Saccharomyces cerevisiae S288C: one gene and its partner. The gene in region 1 interacts genetically with each later gene. Each region holds a gene or a part of one and is shown on either strand. Other genes may lie near its edges.

Region 1 (5,944 bases):
CTGTCAAGTATGATCGAAGGGCCCTTCATAAAAGGGTTCTTTAAAGAACGATCAGCTGAAGCTGTGATAATAAATGCTACATAAATGCATGCCCTTAAAACTGTATAACCATGTCTAATTATCCTTTGCATCAAGCCTGCATGGAAAATGAGTTTTTCAAGGTACAAGAGCTGCTACACTCCAAACCTTCCTTGTTGCTACAGAAGGACCAGGATGGCAGAATCCCTTTACACTGGTCAGTTTCTTTCCAAGCACATGAAATTACCAGTTTTTTGCTTTCTAAAATGGAAAATGTTAACTTAGATGATTATCCAGATGATTCTGGATGGACACCTTTCCATATTGCTTGTTCAGTGGGGAATTTGGAGGTGGTAAAGTCTCTTTACGACAGACCTCTAAAGCCTGATCTAAATAAGATAACCAATCAAGGAGTTACATGCTTGCACTTGGCAGTTGGTAAGAAATGGTTTGAAGTATCCCAATTTTTAATTGAAAATGGTGCGTCCGTAAGAATTAAAGATAAATTTAATCAAATTCCATTGCATAGAGCTGCGTCGGTGGGTTCTTTGAAATTAATTGAACTATTATGCGGTTTGGGCAAAAGCGCTGTAAATTGGCAGGATAAGCAGGGTTGGACCCCACTATTTCATGCTTTGGCTGAAGGGCACGGTGACGCAGCTGTATTGTTGGTGGAAAAGTATGGTGCAGAATATGATCTTGTAGATAATAAAGGCGCTAAGGCAGAAGATGTTGCCCTTAATGAACAGGTTAAAAAGTTTTTCCTAAATAATGTATAAGATTTCAAAACTACATATTACAGAACTTTACATATCAATATTATTCTCAAAAAGCAACTCACAAGCGTAGTAGATCCCGCTGTAACCTCCATCAGCTGGTATTTGGTCATTTTCCCCGACCGATGCAATCAACAGTAGTCCGTTTTGTTTGATGATCCTAGCCAACGACGGGCATATCTTCAGTACTTCATATGGAAGCGTTACACCTAACAAATTATTGTTCATAGCAAATTGAACCATTGTATGTATGTTTATTAGTTCCGTGTTTAAATACGACATTTTTTGAGGATTTACGGCCAGTTCCTTTAAACAATTAGGAGTATCACCTACAAATTTGCCTGTGGTTGAATCTCTGAGTAGATTTTTCATTTGCAACAAAACCGGAAAATTGGGTTGTTTCCAGTTAAGGATCGAGCAAGCTTCCCAATTGCATGAACTGAAAACTATTTGGCGCATACTCCCACTTCCGCTGTGACGCAAAAAACGTTCATGCTCGAAAATGATTAGTAAAAGCTTATCAATGAATTGATTGATATTTATAAATGGCGATATTTTGATGGGAATTGTGTCAATTTCCTTATCTGTAGGAAAATATACACGAATTACCAGCTGGGCTGACCCGGGAATAACTTCTAGTAGGCTTCTGAGAGGCACCACTCTCGAAGATAAGTATTGTTTCAATGTTACTTCATCGAAGCTTCCATCAATTTTACCGAAGTCATAATCCACTACCTTTTCCAATTGTTCTTTCGTTAAATCATTTAACAGAATCTTCGTGCCTTTGAATTCAACGTATGGTTTTGGCGCAGCCACTATGGTTTCATCATTCAGAGCGCAAACTAATACACTAATAAAACTGCCATTCAACGATGAAGAAGTAACAAAATTACCGTCTTTACTAGAGGTCATTAAATCACTTCCTGTAGATTTCCAATACGGCTCATAATTTATGATTTTCAGTGGATTTCCCGGATAAGGAAAAATAATTTGGTAATCCAAAGTGAGAGATCCAATATTATTTAGTCTTGTGTCGAATAAGGGTAAATTCATGGTTGCAATACTATTTATTGCCACCTTCTTGAAAAGGAATGGCATTGCCGTTGTTTTGGCAATTATCCTTGTGCCAAATGAAGGAAATATCTCGAAATCCATTGAAAAATCGTCGATTGAATCTACTTGGAAAATTATCTCTCCATCATCATGATCTTCACTAATTTCATCATCATCTTCTTCATCATTTGTTTCACTGATATCCTTACAAAAGTTATTAATTTCGCCAGATCTAACAGGTAAAATAACATTTCGCGGTATTATTTCAGGTAAGTTTGAGGATAAAGTAATTCTGCCTGGTGATGATGACATAATAATGCCGTTATCCTGAGTCAACTTGATAGACTCGAGACCTGGCCTCAACTTTAATTTGATGAAAATTTTTTTCTCCAAAAAATTATGACCATATTTCCTTAGTGGAATGATTGGCGGTGGTAAAGCAAAATCCGGAATGCTATCTTGAATGTCTAAATCAAATTTGTCATCATTTGGGGTTAAATCTATTGTATTAAGGCGTTGCGTACTAGACTGCGAATTTATTTCATTCAGGGGTGCAGATGGCAAATTTAATGGTCTTTGTAAAAGTGCATTCAAAACATCAACGTGGCTCTCCCATAAGGCGTAAAAAAGTGGCGAATGGCCGTTGTCATCTTCAATATCCAGACGTGCATTATGTTTCAATAGTTCAGTAATAACTTCAGAATGACCTGAACGAACAGCGTAAAAAATGGGCGTCCATTTATTAAACCCATCAATTTCGTTGGGATCCGCCCCATAACGTATCAATAGTTGAATTAATTGTGGATCGCCGCCAATTTTTGCCACTATATGAAGAGTGCATAAACCTGTTGAGTTCTTTTTGAAAAGCGGTTGACACAAGTGTTGTGAACTTTTGTTCTTGGCATTATCAGCATTTTGCTTACTCCGAATTTCTAAAAGTAACTTGGCGGCGTCATGATTATTAAATTTACAAGCAACATTTAAAGGATCGAACTGGACTTTAGTAGAGCTGATTACATTCTTACTATAATCCAGAATTGGCTTTTCAATGGGTGATGCGTTCGCACCACCAATAGTCAGCAGATCCCTAACAACATCTATGTGGTTGTTAGTGATAGCCAAAACCAAGGGTGTCTTAGAATCACTATCAATGGGATCAACGTCCTCTAAAAGATTGGTGATTAGCAACGAGTGAACAAATTCCAGTTTTCCTAGCTCTGCAGCATAATGTAGCGGCACCCGCGAATGTATATCTTGGGCATTCAGTAGTTTTTGTACTGTTTCTTTAGATAACTTTGATGTTGTTAAAGCCTCATCTAGAATAAATAAGCGTGATTTTTCTGGACAACTTGCAGCCTCGTGAAATACGTTTTTTCGTGAAAATACTTGATCATCTTCGTCACAATATGACAGATCAATATGATCCTGATTGCTTTTATAGAAAATATGCAGAGAGTTATCGTCCAAAGGACTAGCCACCAGTAATAAAAACAGCGTCGTTAAGCACTCCTTCAACAAAGAAAAGACATTTTTATGAAAAGATTCTGAGGAATTTTGTAGCAGATATGTGAATATCTTGGTTTCTCTGAAGTTTCTTAGTAGTGCATGCTTTCTTTGAACATCTTTCACCGTGGCTATATTCAAAATTTCCTTATACCAGTTTTCGATTTCCATCTCCATGTCCAAGGAGGAGGAAGATGCTTGAAAAAGATGTTCAAGTTGGTTTTCCGAAATCTTTGATGTTGTTAATTCATAATTATTGTGTAATATGTTATTATTATTGTTGTTGTTGTTGTTGTTATTATTATTGTTATTATTATTATTGTGTTTATTATTGTTGCTGGTATTATTGTCGTCATCATCGTCATTAGTAAACGTACTGGATTGTATGTCTGCCCTTCTATTGTTGTTGTCAATATCATTCAGCTCTAAGAGAATATGTAAAGTTTCATCGTTTAATTTTAGTGGCCCATCTCTGGTAAAAATTGGTTGAATGGAAACAACAGTAGCAAGGTAAAAATCTTTATCGTGAGATTGAGATCTCTTGTCCCATTTCTTCAGAGCTTTTGAAAATCCCGTTTTATTTAACTCAACATACTGCTCCAAATTTCTAAGATCCTTTTGAAACTTTTTGAAAGCCGCATATAAGTTTTTAAATGAGGTAGCTTGGTTTGAGTTTAGCTTACCATTTATCTTATAATCTTTATATTTTGAGTGTAATATATTGAATTTTATTCTTAAATCGGACTCTCTCGCCAAATAATAACCATTTACTTTTTCCAGCTCCCTCTCTAGTTTAAAAAAAAAGGCAGCTTTATTTTCTTGCAGTCTCTGATGTATAATTTTTTCGTCGATGTCATCTAATGTTAAATGCAAATCTAAATCTGAACTAGCCTTTAGCGTGGGAATGGCCAATTGTTTGATAAGTTTCTTTAGAGCCTTATAATCAATAAAATGGCTGTTGTACTCCGCCAGTTCCAACTGCCTGGCTTCCAAATACTTGCCGAATTTCATTGCACGTTTATCTATCTATGTTGCCTCCAAAGGGTTATTCTCTCAAAAAGCTCAATCACTGTGGAACCGAAAAATAATGTTATGAAGATTTTTTGAGCAGTATGTCTTGTCAAAAGCTCAACTAGTGCAGCTGATGTTGCTTAAAAAAATAAAAACCAAATTTTTCTACTTTGCTCTTGTACGTTGCACAAAGAAGATTATGTAACAAACTTGAAGGGACTCTCAAAAACTTGCTATAAATTGTACAAAAGCCTCAATATCACCTAGTAGTGGTTCTATACCTGTCTCGAGCCATCGCCAAATAGTTGATAAATTTGATTAATTTCTGCCCTTATTCGCACGTGCCATAACACCTGTACCTCTCACGCTAAAGACCTTTATAATCAAGGAAACTTGTTGCTGCAGAGGAAATAGGAGGTAATGAATTGTGATAAGGCACATCACATCAATTTTTCTTGCATTCTTGCATAGAAAGATAGGCTGATGCAATTAGCGCGTTTCAATCGCGTGCCAAAGACGTATATACTAAGCAATATAACCGAATTGATTAAGTAGTTGGTTAATTGTATATTTTGTGATAAAGATGGTTAACTGACTTAGGCGGACATAATAGTAGAAAATCTATATAATTTTTCCCATGCAGTTGTTATTACAAAATGCAATTCTTGAGATAGCACAAGCAAGAATAATAGGGCACGGTACGTTCATTCACGTAGCGTTAGCTAGTGCTGCCACAAGGTAAACGTACGATTATATTCATTTTTGAAACGGAAGTTCTTTGTAACCCTCATGCTCGTTTGATAGTCACTTAACTACAAGATATTCTCGTTCAGTGATTGCTTGCTTATAAATCAGGAAACTTCATTTTTATTCCTTACATTTTCGAAAAGCCCGCAAGGTTTTCTTCGCCACGCTCAAGCATTCATCGTTGAAAAGCAAAACTGTGCACACTGTACCTTAGGCGACTCTTCTCCGAACAAGCTCATGGCTCATTTTTAAAATCACAAGCTTCGTATAATTGCCAAGACATAATCTAATTGAGAAGGTCAGACGGCAAAACAAATGACCGAAATCTTCGTTTATTGGTTCGCCTGCGTTGCCAACTGGTACATTTTCCCAGAGTACCAGCAAAGGAAGGCATCCTTGATGCCTACTCTGATACTGTGGAGGATTTAAACTGAAAATGATAGTCTGCGCGGCAAATCTTTCTATTTCTACTAAAGTTGGATCCTCCGGCCGATATAACGTATTCTTTTTATCCAATAATGTCAATTTTAAATGCTCGATTACTAATCGTTACTAAAATAGCGGACGCGCTTATGCGTCTTCGACGGATAGTTTTCAGATCATCCCTCTCAGAAAGCAATGCAGGAACCGCCTGTAAAACTATCTTTTGCTGGCACTCACACATTATGGTATTGATGCCACCTGAAAATACGGAAATTAACCATTCCTTGTACGGAGATCTAAGAGCAACTATTATTGAATTGTTGCCGTTAAAGTTTCATTTCAGTTCCGTGTGTGGTCAAGTACAAGACTACTGATGAAATATGTTGTACACACACGGAAATATATATATATAT
Region 2 (3,605 bases), on another chromosome or scaffold:
AAATCAAGTATTGAGAATCTACATAATGACAAGCGTACCTATTGTGCAAATATACGAAAGAATAAGCGAGAATGAGTGAGGCTTAAAGAAGATGCACCACTATTCTTTAGGACTACTTTATCTTCTATGAGTCATCTATATATTTTCTCGTCTCATTGGACTAGATGCTATCTATCTTTACCGCTTTCTTTAGACCGCGCACAGCTTTAGCGAACAGTCCCCTAGAAATTTCACTTTTGCTTACTAAATGTTCAGTAGATAAGCAATGCCATTTAAATGATTTCCTTGGAAGATATGAACAATAATTCACACTTATAGAAGGGAAGCAATTCCAATTGTACAAAATATGATCACATCACTTCTTAAATGCTTCCCTTGATTAAAGAGCATAGCACTTGTTGGTTTACTACAATTAGTTTTGCATTTACAGCCAATCATACAGATATTGTAAAACTTGCTCCATAGTCGCTTTGGTATATCAATCTAATAGAACTAAATAGCCTCGCTGGTCTGGAAGACTAAAGAATAATCAAGTTTTTTCTTTATGCAAGAATCAAAAGAACCACAAAATAAATTTGAAGGTTGTCAAAGAATATCTTCATCTTCATCCACACTCTTTGGAGGAACCTCCTTCGAGGAACCGAGATGTGGAACATCCCAAGGAAAGGAAGAAGACGCTTTCGCATGCAATAATGGAGATCACTGCTCGAGCATAACGAATGTTCAGGAAGATGACTTTGTCCTTCCAGAACTATTGCCGTCATTCGAAATGTATGAAAATTTGCTCAGCAATATACCTCAATCTAGTTTCGATACATACTTTCCGGAGAATCCACCTTTTTATGAGGTTGCTTCCCGAAATCAGAGTATTCCTTCGGAAGGTGAGTCTGGGAATGATATGCGGATTCTTACCGGTGATATCGTTGGCCCAGATAATCATGAAGTGACTGTTGATGGCCGCCGGTTTGCTTCCGGCCCTGCTGAGTCTCAAATTCGTAATTATGATGATACTAAAGGTATCCCAGTTGAGAATATATACGCATTGCCTAGGATTAAAACCCCCATAGCGACTGAATTGTACGTCACAAAGACGGCTCCAAAATTTGGACAGCTTCCTAAACACGAGAGCATGCTAAGGGAATACACCTCTGGGGATATAATTCACGGTTATTTCACTGTAGAAAACAAATCAACCAAACCTATAAAATTCGATATGTTTTATTTAACTTTGGAAGGTACGACAAGTTCAAAAACACAGTCACCCTTTGGAATCCAAAAAACGACAGAAAGAATTTTGAGAATGGTAGATATGGCAGCGAGTTGGTCATATAATCATGAAGACGTGAACACGGGGGAAGACCTTTGTGGATTTTTTGACTCCATTGATAAAACAAGCTTTGGATTACCGAATAGCAGGATACTAAATCCAGGTGATAAACGTAAGAAATTTTTCACTTTTAAAATTCCGAACCAGTTATTAGACGTAACCTGTAAGCACGGTCACTTCTCTCACTCTCTTTTGCCCCCTACATTAGGGTTTGATAGACCATCGAGTTCTCATCCAGAGCTTTCTACTCTAAAATTTTCGGAGAGTTTAGGTTATGGTCGTTTGTCAGAAAGAGGTTCCTCACTATGGTTAAACGACAGTTCTAGTGGCAGCTTAATAAATTACTCAATAAATGCTATGATAGTAGGCAAAGACGTAGCTTCTGGGCGTGTTTGTTTAATGAGTGAAAAAAAGTATAGCATAAGGATAGTTCCATTTGGCTTTCAAAACAATCCAATTAGTAGGGAGAAGTGCCTCAAAGACTTAGAGGATTTCGATATTGAAATTGCAAACAGGCTTGGAATGATCGAAAAAGTCTTTTCTAAAATAGAGCGAGCGATTCCCATTCATAAGGAGGACATACAGGAGGCGAATCGCTCTGATCAACTATCACCCCTAAGAGGTAAGTATGAATGGAACGCGGTAGCTGGAAATACTGAAAACGGAACACTTAAAAAGAAACACTAGTCTGAAGAAGATAAAATTCAAACTGAAATTACTTACTCTATAGCATCTCTCTTCAACACAGGTCTGAAAAATGTGTTTCTCAAAAGTGTGCGTAATATTCCTTCATCTCAACCAGATGATCCCACTTCAAAGACTAACTCAGAGAAAATTGGGCTTATAACAATAAAAATAAAGCCCCCTAGTAATGCTTTGCCATATTGGTGTCCAAATCTAATTCAAAAACAAAATGTATTTTCAATGAGAAACAGGCAGAATCAAAAGAACTGGACTAATTTAAGAGGTCTATTGTCCGTTGAAGAGAGAGAAAAACTAGAAAATTTACGGCTTGAACTAGTATGTATGCAAGCTGCTAATAGTATTCCACATGACCCACCGGAAATCAGTAGTCTGGAGACGGAATTGATTTGCTTAACAACGAACACAAAAGATTGCAAACCAGTGAGGTTCCACAGTGATTTACTTTTAAAGAAGCACAAATACAATGAAATTAAGAAAATATTTAAGGAAATTTTGGAAAACATTGAAGCATATCGCGATGAGTTCACTAAAAATCAAACAAAAATAAACTTACTTCTTGCCGATGACGCAAGAGCTAGCCTGCGTAATAGATCGCTCGATTTTTCTGATTTAATGCCTTCGAGTATAATTAAGGACGTACAGGTTTTAGCCAATATGGAAGCCAATGTTGTTGTCATGAAAAATGCGTTGAAAACGAAGTTGGTTGGAGAGAAAAGTGTGCCTGTTGCTTCTTCTCCTATATCCAGCATAATTCCTCGAACTTCTAGGAATAAAAAAACCTCCCCATCAAACTATCACCATTCGGTACTTTCACATCGGAAATCAAATGAATGGAATCAGGTCAGTTCAACTGAGTATAAGAGAACACTGTTATTGAATATAAAATATAATGATGATTTTAAAGCTACCATAGTGCCAAGTTTTGAAAGTTGTTTATGCTCGAGGTCATATTTCCTCCGCGTAAAACTTCATTTTGATAAAGGTGTTGGATCTGCTGAAATTGATATCCCAGTTCAAGTTAAAAACTCTTTTATTTGATAGATGGCTGTTAAAAAGAATGGTTTCACTGACGAAGTTTTTATCGCTATTGATATTACAGTATCATTACTGATAAACACCTTAGTTCTTGCAGAACTGAAAGTGATAAAGCAAGGAAACAGTGCGCAGTAGCAATCTCTTTTACGATTGTTCTGCGTTTGCCAAGGTATTCTCAAAATACTTTAAGTACTAAAAACCTAAATAATCTCTATACATAGAACTTTGAATTTTCATTGTTTAAAAAAATGTACGGAACTGCTAAGAAAATGTACAAGGTAGTGAAAGCCCACAGAGAGGTACATTTCAAGTGATAAACTTTGCTTTTTAGATTTGAAAATGTGAAATCTTACCACTCTTTAAAGCGACCATACTAGTAATAACGCAGGAATAGTACCACTAAATGGGTTGCCATCAATTTTATGCGCTGTAAGCTGCGCATATGTTTCCTACTTAAGGTTATAAGCATAGAACTGGCCTTTCCTTCAGCAAAAGAATAGAATAAGCCTGCTTGCCAAGAGAACTTGCTCGATAGCGG

What was found.
Region 2: mutations in PHO81 (region 1) and YNR068C together harm fitness more than expected from each alone (negative genetic interaction), as found in Saccharomyces cerevisiae (one large-scale study listed by BioGRID).

What each region holds. Positions count from the first base shown.
Region 1 is NC_001139.9:953,850-959,793, forward strand, and holds PHO81 (Pho81p), read right to left. Parts: upstream 4,362-5,944; coding exon 825-4,361; downstream 1-824. Other genes in the region: NAS6 (Nas6p), read left to right, coding at 111-797. UniProt on the Saccharomyces cerevisiae protein: Inhibits the kinase activity of the cyclin-CDKs PHO80-PHO85 and PCL7-PHO85 under low-phosphate conditions.
Region 2 is NC_001146.8:759,532-763,136, reverse strand, and holds YNR068C (uncharacterized protein), read left to right. Parts: upstream 1-2,251; coding exon 2,252-3,070; downstream 3,071-3,605. Other genes in the region: BSC5 (Bsc5p), read left to right, coding at 545-2,014.